Linked DNA regions of Lytechinus pictus. The protein of the gene in region 1 binds, or shares a complex with, the protein of each later gene. Links are inferred from orthologs where the notes say so. Each region holds a gene or a part of one and is shown on either strand. Other genes may lie near its edges.

Region 1 (3,931 bases):
ATTAAAAAAAGAGCAGATGAGGAGCAAGAAAGGGGAGCAAGAATGGCAAGAGTAAGCATGTGAAAAGGTGAGAATAGAAAGGGGGATGTAGCAAAAATAAAGGAAAGAGGGAAAAAAGGAAATTGAGGGAAAAAAACCCCACAAGTAAACAACAAATTGTAGATTACAAATATAAGAATTATGTGTAACAAAAAAAAAAGAAGGAAAGTGACATGATGGCGATTATAATAGACGAGAGAGTGGGAAAGAGCAACAGGGAGATAGAGGGAGAAGGAGAGAGAAAGACAGAAAGAGATATATAGAAAGGTCAGACAGAATCTGAAAGAAGGACATCATATCTAATCATAAGTTACATAAGTAAACAAAATATACATAGAAAAAAAACCACACGACTTCTATGGCTTGTTTTTTCTGTGCGCAGCGGCATGTAATGAACCCTTGAGTGGATGAGGTCGAGAATTGTGGTGGTAACCATCTGTTGTACATAAATTATAAAATCCTGATTTTTTGGTGAAAAAAGTTCAATGAAAGATCTGATCTCAACTCGTCTCGTCATCGTGAATGAGTGTAATCCGGGCTTGATCATTGATGATCCAAAGTTTTTTCCAAATTCCAGTCTTTTCTATGGTTAAAAAAGAAAATTGGGAATCCCGAAAATTGTATCCAGTCTGTCCAACGCAAGCCAAAAGGTAGTTTGAAAATCAGTAGATCGTAGCGCCGGTCCAAAAATTGGGATTGTCCCAGAAACAAGGTTATCCTCAGACCTCAAAAACCAAGACAACTCGTCATCGTGTCTTGATAAAATGAGATTGTCCTTGTCGGGGACAGTTTTTTTTCTTCACTTACCCCTGCGGGACATAGACGTCAATTACAGGGATATAGTGTGCTAGAAATAGATTCAGTGACCTCAATCCCCCAAGTTCATTGTCTATTCTTCATGACAATAATCTTGTTAATGTTATGAAACCGGATTGACTAGCACACTTGATTGGTGTCTGCACTTGACAGGTGAATGAACTGAATCAATCGGGTAATGAGATGAGGTACAGGTACGGAGTGTTTCCGTCTGAGGCACGAGCTGCACAAGATGTTCTTCAACTTCATTCATGATATGATTATGAATTTATGATGGTGAGATTATGTCACACATGCACTTACCCAATGTATAAGGATTACTGCCATAGGATTTCCATGTGAAACAATTAAACAATTGAATGAAGTTTGAAAAGCTACTTATGGATACTTATTAATATAGATGCTTCTGAAAAGCAGACTTCCACCTTCTCTTTATTCAGATCCAAATTCTTGTATTATTTTTTAGTCAAAATATATTATTGCACCTAAATATACTGTATATAGTTTATACCTTTATTTTTAAAAATAGTTTGCTTTAATGTTCGCTTAAAATATTTTTTTCATTAAAACAATATTTTTTATTTACATTGTAGGACAAAAGATCCCCAGTCACCAATAGAGCCTGGCATTGATGGTAGAAGAAGTAGAAATTAGAGTTATCTATTCGTTGAAAACTTGATTTACTTCAACATGGCAGGGTGTCTGGTTGAGCTGTACATCTGGTCAATGAAAGGTGCTATGGGAATCAAAGGTAAAATATGCTTTCAAATGAACATTAAAAAAGTAACATTGATAAAGAATATGAAAAAATGTAAAATATTTGAAAAAAATTAAAAGTTCTTAATTGATTGTAATAGAGATTAGAGTTTTATAAATGGTTGTTCTTGTTTTACTCCATTGTGTTTGTCAATTTATTCACTACTACAGAGATGCCAACCCTCCCGATTTCATCGGGAGGCTCCCGAAAATTCATCCCAACTCCCGCCCTTACGATTACCATCCTTATCCTCCCGAAATTACGATTTTTTTTTGCATTGATCAAATTGGATTGGAAGTACATGTATCGTCTGCTGACTTTAGCATGTAGTAACTCCATTACGTTTCGCTGCTACTAAATTCTGTGTGAAAGGCAGACAAATAAGGAGCAGCGAAAAGCTGGTGCATGTGATATGCCCAACGGGAATCCACTGTGCACCAGGCCGGTAGGCCTGGCTAGCTTCGCGAGGCGTGTGCGCTCGCGGCCGCTGGATTTGTCGAGTCGTGCGATGGAATATCGGTGTGTGATTTCGGCGTATTGATGGGTTGATATTGACACGAAATGGCGGAAAATCAACAAAAAAAGACCAAGAAATGGTCTCAGAAGTATAAGACTGAAAACAGTCTCCAGTACCCGTGTATTCGGAAAGAGGAATCTACCATGCATTTTGCACAATTTGCAGCGTGGACATTAAAGTTGAGCACGGAGGTCGTGATGATATTCGGAAGCACGTAGGGAGCAAACGGCATACGGACATTGCGAAGACGAGATCTTCGAGCTCCACTAGTACCCTGTTGACTTATTTCACCAAGCAAGGGACCAGCGAGGAGGAAGACGTTACCCGCGCTTTAATAATAATAAAGAGGATAATTCCTTATTATTATAGTTGAACAGGTACTTTTCTTCTATTGTCCCCTCATTTTTTTTACATACGCATATTTGATATTTTTATTTTTATGTCAAAAAAGTGGGAACAATGTTTTTTTAAAAACATGTGAAATGCTCCAAAATAAGGGTCAGATTGCACCAGAGAGCATCTAGAAACCCAGAGCTTCCAGGGCCCTAAGGCGGGCCCTCGACCCCGGCCGCAAGGGTCGAGCGCTCCGCGCTCGAGATGTGCGCTATGCGCACATAATTTGGTGTCGGTTGCAAATCCTCCCTAATTCTGATTTCCAAAAGTTGGCATCTCTGCTAGTATAATAACAATAAAAATATAATAATGATACTACTACTACTACTGCTGCTGCTGCTACTAGTACTACTACTACTAATAATAATAATAGTAATAATAAAAAAATAATGATAATACTATACAGTAACTAATACCCGATAAAGTTGTCAACTTTAATTCTTCCCTTAATTGTTTGACAAGTGAAGATGAATTGAGATGTTATGATGCTTTAAGCATAGAGTGAAAGTTGTAAATCTGTCTGTTGCATCATGAAAGTAATATCTGTTTTGATAGGTGTCTAATTTTATTTTACTATTAATGCCCCTGTTACGTGATATGATAATATATATTTCTTGGCATAACTCATTGAACCAAGATGATATGATAATTAATCCAAACATGGAAATGCACATTGATAAAGTGCTTTTGCATAGTTCATCATTCTATCATCTGTTGTGATAATTTCATATAAAATTTAGATGGAAACATTGGATGCCATAGCTACTATGACAAAGGAGACATGGGTAAGACATAAAGTTTAATAGTTTAATAATTGATAATTAATGATTGGTTAATAAATGATGATATTAACCATAACTGCTGAAGTAATGTATTATTTGTTATACATGTATGACTCTACCTACAGTATATGGTTGCTGGAGGCTTGTTTTTGGTTGTCTATCCATCTGTCTGTTCTGTTGTATGTTCTCTTGAAGTAAAGAACCATTTTAGAAGTTGATTCTACTGTTTTTAATTTTGAGTATTTGAAGATTTAATAAATCCTAATTGCTAACTTAAGTAATATTTTTGTTTATGATCACCCACAACACATGTAGATGGTTGCTAGTGGCATGATTGGGGCCATCGGTATATCCATCCTGTTTATGTTCTCTTGAAACTAAAGAACTAAAGAGGGATTAATTTCAATGTTTTATTGTTTGATAATGATTTATGAAATATCAACCATATCCCAAACAATATCTTTTAATGACTCTGCCCACAGTGGATGGTTTCAGGTCATCCATCTATCTATCCTTTTTTACGTTCTTTCGATAATGAAAGAACCACCCAAGGGGTTAATTTCAAACTTGGTTTATGTATGCATTATTGGAGTGACTCCATTAGAGTCATGTGATAAAAATAATAAT
Region 2 (3,931 bases), on another chromosome or scaffold:
TTATTATGGCTAATTTGCATAAAATGCAAATTTTGTGATTTTCCATATGCTTGTATATTTAAGGACTATTAATATGGTGTTTAGGAAACCTTCCTGTGAGGTATTGCCATATTCCAATTTCAATAGATAATCTACTTGCAATTTTTGAGGGATGTATCACCAGTATGTTTTCTTGAATATTTACAACATGTTAGATACTTTTATTTGCATAATATGCAAATTACACTACATACACTAAGCTGACTACAAATTTATTCAACGTCCTTAGTGATAGCAGCATGTAAATTCCAACATTAATGAAATTTTCAAGCAGACAATGAGAGAAAAATCACAATACCTTGACATTTTTCCATATTAGGATGCTTATTTGCATATTATTCAAATGAGGTAGATTTTTTTGCACTTTTGACAAAAAACATTGAAAAAGTTATTTATCATGAATTTTCGCTCAAATTGAATTGTTTTGGACACTCAATTTGTAATCTTTGGGCTATTTTCCCTATTTTTATAACTTTTTATGGCTAATTTGCATAATATGCAAATTTCATAAATTTCCACTGCTTGGATTTCTTGGGACTTTTAGTATGTTGTTTAGGGGACCTTCCTTGAAAGCATTGCAGTGGAATATCTCGTGTTGCAATTAGTGGTGGGTCAAACCCTATATTGACTGGACTATTATCCAATATTGCAGAATTAGGCATGAATCTCTCCAAAAATTTTTTTTTTGGCCAGATTACTGTAGTACAGGATGCAATAAAACTGTAGCTGTGTACCGTGCAGAAAACACATGGACATTTTTTTTTTTTTTGGGGGGGGGTGCCAATAAAGAATTAGCACACAAAAAATTGACGTTCTTCTATGGGAGTTTTAGCACACATAACAATGCCTTTTTTTAAATAGCTGATTAAAATTTCAAACTTAAAGCCAACAATACTCATGCTGGAGGTTTTGACATGGAGATCTACATGATAAACATGAATCTAGCTCAAAATTTTGTGTTTTCATACTAAAAAGTGTTTGGTTTTTACAGAGGTAAATTGTTATCTATTTCTCCCATTGTATGCACCCCTATAAAAGCAGACAATCAAGACAATTCAATTGACACCCCCTATCATCCTCCCACTTCCCCATCTCAAATCAAACATCTTTTTTCTTTAATAGCTGACGGCCTTTAATATCATGAAATTTGTCACCTCTCTCCTTGTGTGTGTGCACTCGTTGTGTACAAAGTCAATGGGAGTGGAAAGAAGTCACAATAGCTAGGGAAATAAACGGCAGTGAATGGACTGGTGACTGAAACCAGGATAATGGGCCAAGCTGACCTCAACCCCCCCCCCCCCACAAGACTGGTCCCCAACAAAAGTTACAACCTCATCATTATCCATTCTATCAGTCACAAATTCACAATCACATCAATCAGATTCCTGATTTAAGTCCCAGTCCAGTCACTACTGTTTATTTTGTCAGTGCTGGTGACTTCTTTCAACTCCCATTGACTTTGTACACAGCTCACAGCGAGTGCACATGATACAATGCACCGACACACACAAGAAGAGCTGACTTATTTCACGATAGGCCATAACCATAAGGCCCAGATTAACACATTCATTTTTGCAAATGCCCCCTCATTCTTGATTTCTTCAGCTCACTGCCCCTTCAACATTAAACTAGACAGTCTACACAGTACACTTCATTCTTCACATAGAGAAGCCAGTGGCGTGGCAAGCGTACCGCGCAGCCCCTAAACCCAGGGAGCTCAGGACTCGTCCGTGTAATACGAGGCGGACATATGCTCTCCAAAATGGGGTCGCAATAGCACTCAAAATAAAAGGGGAAAATATAAATCATACACTTACCTCGATTACCTAATACATGTAATGTGTATATGGATGAAGCTGAAATGAAGGTCTATCGTGAGACACAGAATCCCGACATCGAGGCACAAACTGGACCCTCAAAAAAGGAAAAGTTCTGTCTCGTTCGTTCTCCTTCTGTCAAAATTGAAAAAAAAATGGCCGATCGACACCGAGAACCAACGCGACAGAGCCTCAGAGGTCTAACTTTTCCTTTTGACAATTGAGGGTCCAGTTTGTGCCTCGATGACCATGTCAGGATTCTGTGTCTCACAATGACAATATTAATTATTTATACTATTTATAGTAGTGACACTAGTACTACTCCATAATAGAGGCAAGTCAGTGCATTATTTATAATTTCCCCTTTTATTCTGAGTGCTATTGGCTTGCGACCCCATTTTGGAGAGCATATGTCTGCCTCGTATTACACGGACGAGTACAAGTCCTGGGCTCCGGCCCGCAAAGCGGGCCGGAGCTCTCTGGGTTACGCAGCCCCCAGTCTTTCCCGTGCCCAACCGCCCCGCCTGGCTAGCCTGTTGACCTACTCATTATCGTCGCTGTATTCCACATCCGAAGCGGTGTCATGATCAACAACTATTTCTGGAGTTGGTAAATTGGGCTTTGATACAGATTCTCCTGAATACTTCACGCGAACATTTGCTCTTCTTTTGGAGCCGTCCATTGTTGATGACACTGTTCTAGATCGTCAACAATCTAGCTTTCGAAATGTTTGTTATTAATTATTTTTCACCCTCCTCAGCATCGCCATCTTGTTTACAAATACCTGTTTGGGAGCCATCAATAGATGGCGGCATACTACTTTGATGATTGGGCAGAGTTGAGGAGCCGTGGTCGGACCGGTGGTCTAAAGCGCCTGACTATTTTGAAAGCCCGAGGTTCGAACCCCAACCACGGCACCAATTTCCGTGAGCAGGGGCGTAGACAACGGGGGGGATGAGGGGGATGCATCCCCCCCACCTCACAAGGTGGGGGGGATGGCATGTACAATCATCCCCCCCAGGTTTTGGGGAATGATATTTGGTTACTTAATAAGTCATAATGATGATAATAATAGTAATAATAATAATGATAACAATTATAATATTAATAATAATAATAATTATGATGATGATAATAATAATCCTCATCATTATTGTAATTGTGTTTATTGTTATTAGCCGCATTCACACGGTGAAAGTCAATTCAGACGGTAAAAAAAAGAAAATCTTACAAGTATTTACTGGGCAGGAACGAAAAGAGGCGCAAGATATTTGGTTTCTATGACACAAATTTGCAAGACTACAAAAGTAAAACTGACTAAGAGACCGATATGTTTGTTTGTTGAGCCATGAATGCTCCTTAAGTAAGTTAACCAACTTACCGCATGTCTCTATTATCTGATTAGCAACTGTTAATCAAGCTGTTTTTGGTATGGGAATGAAGCAACAACTTTTTTCTTTTCATCGAGACTACTTTTCAGGCACGAACCGAGTACTAGCAATACCTTCTCATATATGATATGTATTATATTTATTTATTTATTTATTAGTTTATATCAGATTATATTACAGGTATATGATATTTATACATATATATATACATTATATGCATTTATTTATTTATTTATCTATATATTTATATACACGTTATTTTCTCAAGTCGGTTTTTATTGAAATACATGTGTGGTCTGGCCCACTCGTGTTATAGGCATTATCCATTGTGTGCAAAATGCATCAGCGCAATCTAAAACAGAATAGAAAATGAATGTGATACAACAGTATACATAATAATTCGTGACAGAGAGTACCATACTACTATCTTTATAACAAGTATTATTCAAACAAACATATATAATTATGTATAATCATGAATTGTTCAACTTCATGCTCCCACTATATGACTATTGTTACACTAATACTGATATCAGGACTGACTGGTATACATTAGTTTGTTGTTAAGCTTGCAGCAGCTACATCTTTTCTGTATTGTTAACTATTTATTTATTTTTGTTTTATTTAAGATGCACTTTGTTTTGTATTCATTTAAAGTATGTTGATTGATGCATGAAGACATAA

What was found.
Region 2: the proteins of WD repeat-containing and planar cell polarity effector protein fritz homolog (region 1) and protein inturned-like are in contact, whole or in part, in a cryo-EM structure (PDB 7Q3E), measured with the Mus musculus proteins. The link is inferred for Lytechinus pictus from reciprocal best matches to the Homo sapiens genes WDPCP and INTU. Residues at the interface, in NP_663400.2 of Mus musculus: Phe3, Cys4, Leu5, Ile24, Leu51, Ser54, Arg55, Asp56, Lys93, Leu385, Ala386, Glu387, Asp388, Tyr389, Ile427, Lys446, Leu447, Gly448, Ile449, Leu450, Thr451, Arg452, Gly453, Leu455, Leu462, Gln463, Ile465, His466, Tyr467, Gln487; in NP_780724.3 of Mus musculus: Val481, Gln484, Val488, Asp491, Ser495, Asp496, Glu498, Ala499, Ala500, Asp501, Ser506, Glu507, Asp508, Arg513, Arg514, Thr517, Ser532, His533, Leu534, Pro535, His574, Tyr593, Glu610, Gly613, Cys614, Ala615, Ser616, Lys617, Ser653, Pro654.

The regions. Positions count from the first base shown.
Region 1 is NC_087251.1:37,388,390-37,392,320, reverse strand, and holds the start of WD repeat-containing and planar cell polarity effector protein fritz homolog, read left to right. Parts: upstream 1-1,523; 5' UTR 1,524-1,545; coding exon 1,546-1,606; intron 1,607-3,262; coding exon 3,263-3,307; intron 3,308-3,931. UniProt on the Homo sapiens protein: Probable effector of the planar cell polarity signaling pathway which regulates the septin cytoskeleton in both ciliogenesis and collective cell movements.
Region 2 is NC_087249.1:39,380,793-39,384,723, forward strand, and holds the start of protein inturned-like, read right to left. Parts: upstream 2,739-3,931; 5' UTR 2,539-2,738; coding exon 2,402-2,538; intron 1-2,401. UniProt on the Homo sapiens protein: Plays a key role in ciliogenesis and embryonic development.